Linked DNA regions of Schizosaccharomyces pombe. The protein of the gene in region 2 purifies or fractionates together with the protein of the main gene of each other region. This does not show direct contact. Each region holds a gene or a part of one and is shown on either strand. Other genes may lie near its edges.

Region 1 (3,928 bases), on a different chromosome or scaffold from region 2:
GAAAGTTGACAACACCAAGTACATATAGAAAAAGATATTTGCATTTGCATAAAAAAGATGATTGAACTTGATGCGATTAACCCTAATAATCTGAAAATCCTTGAAGTTATTAACGAAAAGTGTTTTGATCCTGAAATCATTATATTTCCAACCTCCTTTTACAAAGACACAATCTCAGTCGGGCCTTTAGCACAATATGCGTACTTTAACCAGGTCTGCGTAGGAGCTGTTAGATGCAAAAAAGAAACACATAATAAATCGCACAAAATCCAAATTTTATCTTTGGCAGTTTTGCCAGCCTATCGAAACCGTTCTATTGGTACCAAGCTGTTGGAATATGCTTGCGAGACTGCAGCTGAGGGAAAAGCCAAAGAAATTTACATTAAATTAAGCCCTAAACTCGATGTATCCGAATGGTTTATTCATCGGGGATTCATTATTGATGAGAGCTCCAAAACAGAAGATAGCGTCCTTCTTTCGAAAAAGCTATAGATTGCACACACATTTATTAATCTAAGTGAAATGCAATTATTAAATTGACTTGAAAATCTAACATGGATCCTTGGATAGATTTTAAAAGAATAAAATAGATTTAATTTTGAAATTTTTAAAGAACAGATTTTGTTAGCACCTTCAATAGGTACAAAATGTGATATCATTTGAAACAGCCGAACCTTGCCTAAGTAAAATTAAAAGACTTGAAAATGACTAAGATAATTGTAGGATTCTTATATCCTATCAATAATAAGAATATGAATCCATTCAATTAAACAAGAGTAAAGTACATACGAACTGTAGTGAAACATTACCACATGCGGCAAGACAACTTAGGAATTGAAAAACAAATGTTTATTTAAACAGCGAGCATTATTTTTTAAATGCATTAACCCGCAGTTATCCGCCAGCTTGTAATTCATCTGATTCCGTATCACTATCATATCCCTCCACCAAACTTCGTTTAGTATTTATAACATTTTCAAACTGTTTACACAAAAACATTTCATCTTCCGTAATTGCAAAGGTGCTAAACCATGTCTTATCGGATAATAATTCATTAGCTGAAGCAACAAATGCAGCTTTAATCATACTAATTTGAAATGATTGCTTTCCAATGTCGTTATTTCTGTCAATTGGATCTTCAATAGATAGCAAATTTGGTTGCACTTCGTTTAACCAGCCCTTTTGTAGCTTAGGAACTATTTGACCGGTTAAAGGTCTCAATACAAAAAGTTCGTATGTCCATTCGACTCCCCAAAAATAGAAGAATTTCTGTAGTAAAGCTCGAATTGGTTGCACTTCCGAATCAATTCCCTTTTTGTGAAATCGCATTTCAAGCCAACCAATTAGCATATAAGAGAGCGCGCAACTTGCAATCCCGCCATGATGAACGTTTTCCAAATCTCTTTCAAACAACCAGTGCTTCAATAGCATCAGCAATCTACCAAAAATTGGGTGTTCTTCGTTATAAGCTTTTTGCAATTCAGCAGTTCTGCAAGCTTTGTCATTTCCAAACGTCAAATCCACCCCAATTCCACTAACATCTACTAAATTGATGCGAGGGACTCTGGCACTAGAATGGAAATCAGCATCAGCATCCAAGTACTTTCTTAAAACCATGGTGACGCGTCGTTTCTCCAATTCTCCAACTCGAGGTGACTTCAAAGATACGTCTACATCACTTATAGATAATGTTGTTCCAATATACATGCTACCGTATACTTGAAGTTCAGCATCCAAAACGACCTCCCTAATGTGAGTCTGTAGTTTCTCTAACAAAAGCTTTCTGTACTTCAATTCCTCGATTTTCGGGCTTACGAACTCCAAAAATGAATAAAGTCGAGCATTATCACTCAAACCTTCTTCATTCCATGGTACTGAATGCAGCTCTAACAGGACTTTACCCATTCTTAAGAAATGGCATTTTGGCTAATTTTAATATCAATGGATTCAATTTCATGGCTCCTCGCACATAACGAGGTCGTGCGAGTGCCTTGTAATTATATGTAAATAAATCATTTTATAGCAAAAAAAAGTATCACGAGTTTTTAATCAATAAATAACTTATTTGTTTTTATAAATAATAGAATGATTGACTGCAAAAGCTTCCTAGTCTCATACAGCATTTATAGCGAAAACCAAAGATTATGAACCCAAGAAAAGCAAGCAAAAGATAGATAAGTACTCCCTCATCTCTCATTGTGCAAATTTTAACTTAAGCATGTGTATTTCGATTTTTAAAGGTTTCCTTTATGATATTTTTATTTGATAAACGAATTCGTTGGTTTACGCATGTAAATACTGTCATGGCGTCTAAATACATATGAAAATAAAATAAAATTAATCCAAGTAATTAGTCATGTACTTCTTTCTTTTTGGTAATCTGATTCGTAATGAACAGTGTAGGACTAAGTGTAACAATCATAATTTAGCAAAAGACAAATTCACAAAAAACAGTCAACTTGAAATAATCACGGAAAGATGAATATAAGGTGTTTTTTTGAAATCCCCTTTCGCTCAAGCAGTGTAAAAGTGACTATAATAAGGAATTATTGAACCAAGAAAACATTAATAAATATCATGCAATAACACAGAAACAAAATCTCCTTTGTTTTTTTTGGACATCAAAAATTTGAAATTATTGACCGCATCATAATAATAAGCCTTTGAATTAACTTATGAAAGCTCACTCATAATTGAATAAAACAAAAAAACAAGTACAGAGATGCAATCAAGCTCCTTTAAAATTGAACCTAGTAAACAGATATTATATATAAATTAATATGCATGTTTATTAACTAAAAATTCCGTCTACACCCATTTGGTAATCCTTACTTCCAATCTCCATAATTTTAACGACTTTTTTATAGATATCCGCCAATTTCTTTGTAGAAATTATCTATTTCTTCATCCTTGTCTTCCTGAACTTGGCTCGATACATCCCTGTCTGGCTGTCCAATTTTCTGCCCCTTGGCTAGTTTTTGTCGTTGAAACGCAGCAGGTAAAAATTGAGCAGCTTCTTGTCGTAAATCTCTGACTACCGGCTGAGCTGAGTACTCAATCATAGTTTCCTCTTCAATGTCCTTCGTATTTGCAGCAGCTTCTGTCGTAGTAGTGGATTTTGGTTGTGCTGAACTTGCATTTATGTCTTGCTTTTTGTGGTGCTTTGGCTTAAAGCTCTTATTTTTCTTTTCCCTTGGCTTTGGATCCTCAAAAGGATATTCTTCAGAAGGTAAAGGTATATCAATAACGGATTCATCTGTTTCTGAACTTAGTTCTTCCTTCTCACGATAAGGCATTCCTGGCGGCGGAACTCCGTAAGGATTAAATATTGGATCATAATATATACTTCGTTTTGGGTTTTTAGGGATAAAAGGCTTTCTAGGTTTATGTTGACGTTCTGCCTCCTTAGTCTTGTCTGACTCAACACGCCCAACTCTATGTCCATGAATGTTTTTCTTCTTCATAATTGCCATATCTCTTTGCAAATTTTGTAATAATTGCTTGTCATGTGCATTTAAAGCTTGCGAAGATTCTAATTGTGTCAGCTCTGATAATTGGCGTTCCATTTGGCTCATATTCCTATGCGACAGTCGTTCTTCATGGCGTTTTGCTCTTTCTTCTCGCACTTTAATTTGTTCTCTTTTTTTCTTCTTTCTGCTCTCCGCTTGAACGGGATTTAATCCCCGTTTTGACAGCATTCTGTAGAGTCAAGTATAGTATGGGTTTAGAATGGTGGTGATCAAAAACGTGACATGTATAAAATATTTAGGCAAATAGACAAAGAATAGTATTAAATTGGTTTGAGTAATCGACCGTTTACATTAAATTTAAATAAAGAATAATTAGTAATGTTGAAGTTGATGAGCTAAAAACTAAAGTTAATAGGCTGGTAATTAATTGTGTATATAGAGTATGAGTCAATGATGGA
Region 2 (3,928 bases):
AATGCTGGTATTCCTCGTCTCCAGTCCCGAGATTGACAGCTCTTTTTTGTTGTTTTCCGAACATAGGATCTACCCAAGCAATAGAAATTCGAGGTTTCTTGAAAGTCGGAGAATTTTGATTTGATAAAAGGGAAGCAACTGAAAAGTCCGATTTATTTTTCAGTAGAAGTGAAAATGCCTAATATCATTAGTAAACTTTAATAAAAAGGAATCATTAACAAAATAGATGTTTCATAGGACATAAGTAGCAGATAATGAGTGTTTTCAACAGTTGGGAGAAAAGCAACAAATTCGCCCAACGAATTTATAATCTTACTTCATGTGATCGGATCTGTAATTGCTTTTGCAATTGTTCACGAGTTTCTAACGATTGTAGAAGAGAAAGGACATGATCATTGGTGGACATTAGAAATTTGTTAAAGAGAAATATAAAAAACAGCAATAAACTAAAATGATGAGGGATATTGAGTGAAATTGGGTAAATGCACTAATTCGATGGATTTATTCCAAACTCTTCAAGGTTAAAATGCAGAGGAAAGTATTAATAAGGTTTCCACATAGCTTGAAATGTGATGAGTGAAAGATGAAAATCACAACAGGTCGAAAGGTAGGTAAAGAAAAGATGAGGAAAACGAGTCAAAAGGAGAATGACAAATTGATTATCTCAGCTTTTACAGAGGTAAAAAATGTATGTAACATATGGCATTGAATTCGTCGTTCATTGGAACAACTTTTTTTTTACTTGGCCTGCTAAATACTGAGGGAAAAAATGACAATACTTTTGATTAAGAGTATTGATTTTTCTTTTATTTGAAAAAAATTCCCATGAATTTTTTGCTTAATGCTTTGAATTATTGGCGAGTGCTTGATATTGAATTATCGTGTTTAAGCGCTGGACAGTTTCATGGGCAAATACGACATATTTTTTCTTGTTAAGTATTTTTCTATTTCCTTGAAAATCTGATGTACGCAACACATACTTTTGTAACAAAGACAACATTGTTGTTTGTAAGAAGACCTAAAAATGGATGTCCATTTCCATCGCCTCAAACTTAGTGTTTCCCCCTTCTCATATGGTTAAAGATATTTCAAAATAATGTTTATTTTCTTTTGTTGGGAGTCTTTACTGCTTTATAGAGTTTTCATAGGACACCTTACGTAGACTCTTCCTTCCATCAGTTGAAGACCTAAATTGTGTTTTTAAATCTTTTCATCCAGAAAAAACTACAATTTAAAAGTCTTTGCACTTTTAAAAGCAATTGGTCAGGATTCCCTCTATGACAGATGTAAACAAAAAGGGAACTTGTGCAACAATCTGTTGAATTTTTAATTATATGGTTTCGCATTTCCTATTCCTGCTGCAAGTCAGGGCAGTTCTTCACATAAAAAGTAAAAAACCACTGAAAGCAAAAAAATGAATGAGTATATTGTGTTCAGCTAGGAATACCCATTTTTCATCTTCCACCCCGGATATAAACAAACATCTAGCCAGCCAGGTTCACAGAACTTCACCAATCTTTTTCACGTTCTTTTTTCTTTCAACATTATAATGTTATTTTAATATTATTTTTCTCTTCCCACTTTCCTTACTACTTCTTTCTCTATAGTAGATATCAGATCAATATACCACGGTCCATCGTATCGCAATAAATGCTTATCGCTCTTTACCGATCTTTCTTGTAAACAAAGCAAAGACCCACCAACGCAGATTGTGTATGATTTCCTCACAAGAGACCTATTTTTTATCGGAATTTTTATCTGCTCCATCATTCTATCGATCCCAAGTTAGTCTCTCTTTGCCTCCTCGCTTTCTCCTGCTAAATTTAGGACTTTTGTTACCCTTGGAATGTCACTCCTGTCATCCTAATGAGCCACATTAAGTCTCGTTAATATTTTTTTGCTACCCTTTTGCTACCTTCATGCTACTTACCACCAACACCTCCACACTGCATGCGAAAAATTTGATTTTGACTGAGCAAAGCAAAGTCGAGTGTGAGGACGTATTTTCCGGAGATATTTAAAGCTAACGATTCAAACTGAGTCGAAATTTTTTGTTGGTAAAGTCTATGAGTGAGCACTCGCCAGAAGCCTCGTCAACGTACGCTCAGGTCACAAGCAATGATGAGCTCTCCAGTAACAAAATTTACATGAACGCTGACCAAAACAATAGTAGAAAAAAGGAGATGGATGGGAGCTTGCAAAACAATGGAGGCCGTTTGCAAAACGTGAATCCGCTTGGTGGGAACGAGAGTATGAGTGCAGTCGCCACATCAGCAGCGTCGTCGCTGCCTACTGCGGAAAATGGGGTTTCTTTGAATGCGGCTTCACCCACCATCCATTCCAACACTCCCACCGTCGTATCGCATCCTGTTATGAGCGGAAGTGAGCTCAAGGGCGAGGAATCACATAATTCACCAGGTACACTGAACGGGACGTCTGTTGCTAACGCCTCCAAGCAGCCCAACATGCCTAATGCCACCTTTCGCTGCGACAAATGCGACATGATGTTTGTCAAGCAGTCGGGCCTCACGAATCACAAGCGAACGTACCATCAAGTAGAAACGGTTGTCATTATTGGCCATCGTAGGTACGTGTGGAGACGAAATGAAAACGGTCGCTTCCAATGTGTGTGTGGTCGCCAGAACTGGCGAAGACCTGTCAACTTTGCCTCTCATGCCAAGCAATGTCCCAGTTTTCTTGCAATGGACCCAAATAACATTCCTCCTGAAATTAATAAAGTCTCCCCCCACGATGATCTGAGACCACTCTCGGACTCAAGGCGTCGCGCACGCCGTCCACATCCTTCAGATACCATTCCGCCAGGCGCCTCTATGGCACGTTCTGACCCTAGTCAAGTGCCTGAATCCAACCCCTCTGCTGCCGCAGCCGTCGCCGCAGCCGCCGTTGCTGCTGCTGCGAACCTAACGAACGGCGTCAATCCCCCAGAAGTCCCTAGAAACCTGAACAGTTCTCTTGTCGATGCCGCTGAGTCTCTCGCTAATGTTTCCCAACAGCAACATCATCGTCATCCTTTTGCCCGTCAACCAGATTACTCCGCCCATTCCATTCCCCGTACCGCTGCTCCTTATGCTCCCTCTATGAATATGTTTGCCCAAAACGGCCCCAACACTTCTCTTTTACCAACTGCTATGCCTTCAGATGTTTCCATATCTTCTTCTCTCCAACAACAACCCATCCATCCATCCTATGACTCTAGGTTTTCCAAAGGTATGTTTTTTATTATTAATTCGCTCCATCTTGTATAGTTTGATAGATCTTTGTTGGATATAAACAAAAAAAGACTTGGTCTTGTTAAAGTTGCTTTGCTTCCAATTATTCGTTTTACGGTTGAATTGGTGTATCCTTCACTCATCTATCAGTTTGTTCATACGTAATTCTTCTTTTTTCATCAGTTAACCTTTAGCTCCTCAAGGTACAGATGCCCTTGCTGCATTGGGTTATGGTACGCCTTCATCTGCTGCCACATTATGTCCATTGTATCGAGATACTCCAGCTGCCATTGTCAGTGAAAAGCTACATTTACGTTTAGCAAATCTTCGCATCGCTTACTGTGAAGACTGTCGTGAATTTATATCTCTGAATGCTGCTCTGGATCATCGTCGTTCACACCATCAACAAAATATCACGGGTGACCTTGTGCACGTATACAGCGATTTCTTAGACTTCCAGAATTGTTAGAAAATGTTGCATCTTCTTATATTTGATCAGTTTTATATGGATTTTACCAACTTGCTTTTTGGTTTTAATTTTGTTTCTTCATTTTTTCGTTATATTAAGGTTTTCCCTAATCACCATGTTCTCTTTACAATTTTTGTAAAGTATCGGAATTACATTCGTCAAACCAGCGTTTATGATAAAAGATCATCCTATTCTAATTTTGCTATCGATAGCCCTTGTGCCCAGAAAA

Evidence for each region.
Region 1: the proteins of deb1 (region 2) and cid12 purify together in Schizosaccharomyces pombe (affinity purification with mass spectrometry; one study listed by BioGRID). This does not show direct contact.

What each region holds. Positions count from the first base shown.
Region 1 is NC_003421.2:1,653,646-1,657,573, reverse strand, and holds the start of cid12 (poly(A) polymerase Cid12), read right to left. Parts: upstream 1,929-3,928; 5' UTR 1,906-1,928; coding exon 895-1,905; 3' UTR 493-894; coding exon of another isoform or gene 58-492; 3' UTR 1-57. Other genes in the region: NatA N-acetyltransferase subunit Naa50, read left to right, coding at 58-492; splicing-associated factor Saf1, read right to left, coding at 2,862-3,698. UniProt on the Schizosaccharomyces pombe protein: Has a role in the RNA interference (RNAi) pathway which is important for heterochromatin formation and accurate chromosome segregation.
Region 2 is NC_003424.3:3,534,561-3,538,488, forward strand, and holds the start of deb1 (DNA-binding transcription factor Deb1/Rdp1), read left to right. Parts: upstream 1-1,934; 5' UTR 1,935-2,066; coding exon 2,067-3,228; intron 3,229-3,424; coding exon 3,425-3,699; 3' UTR 3,700-3,928. Other genes in the region: protein tam5, read right to left, coding at 1-178, 317-406.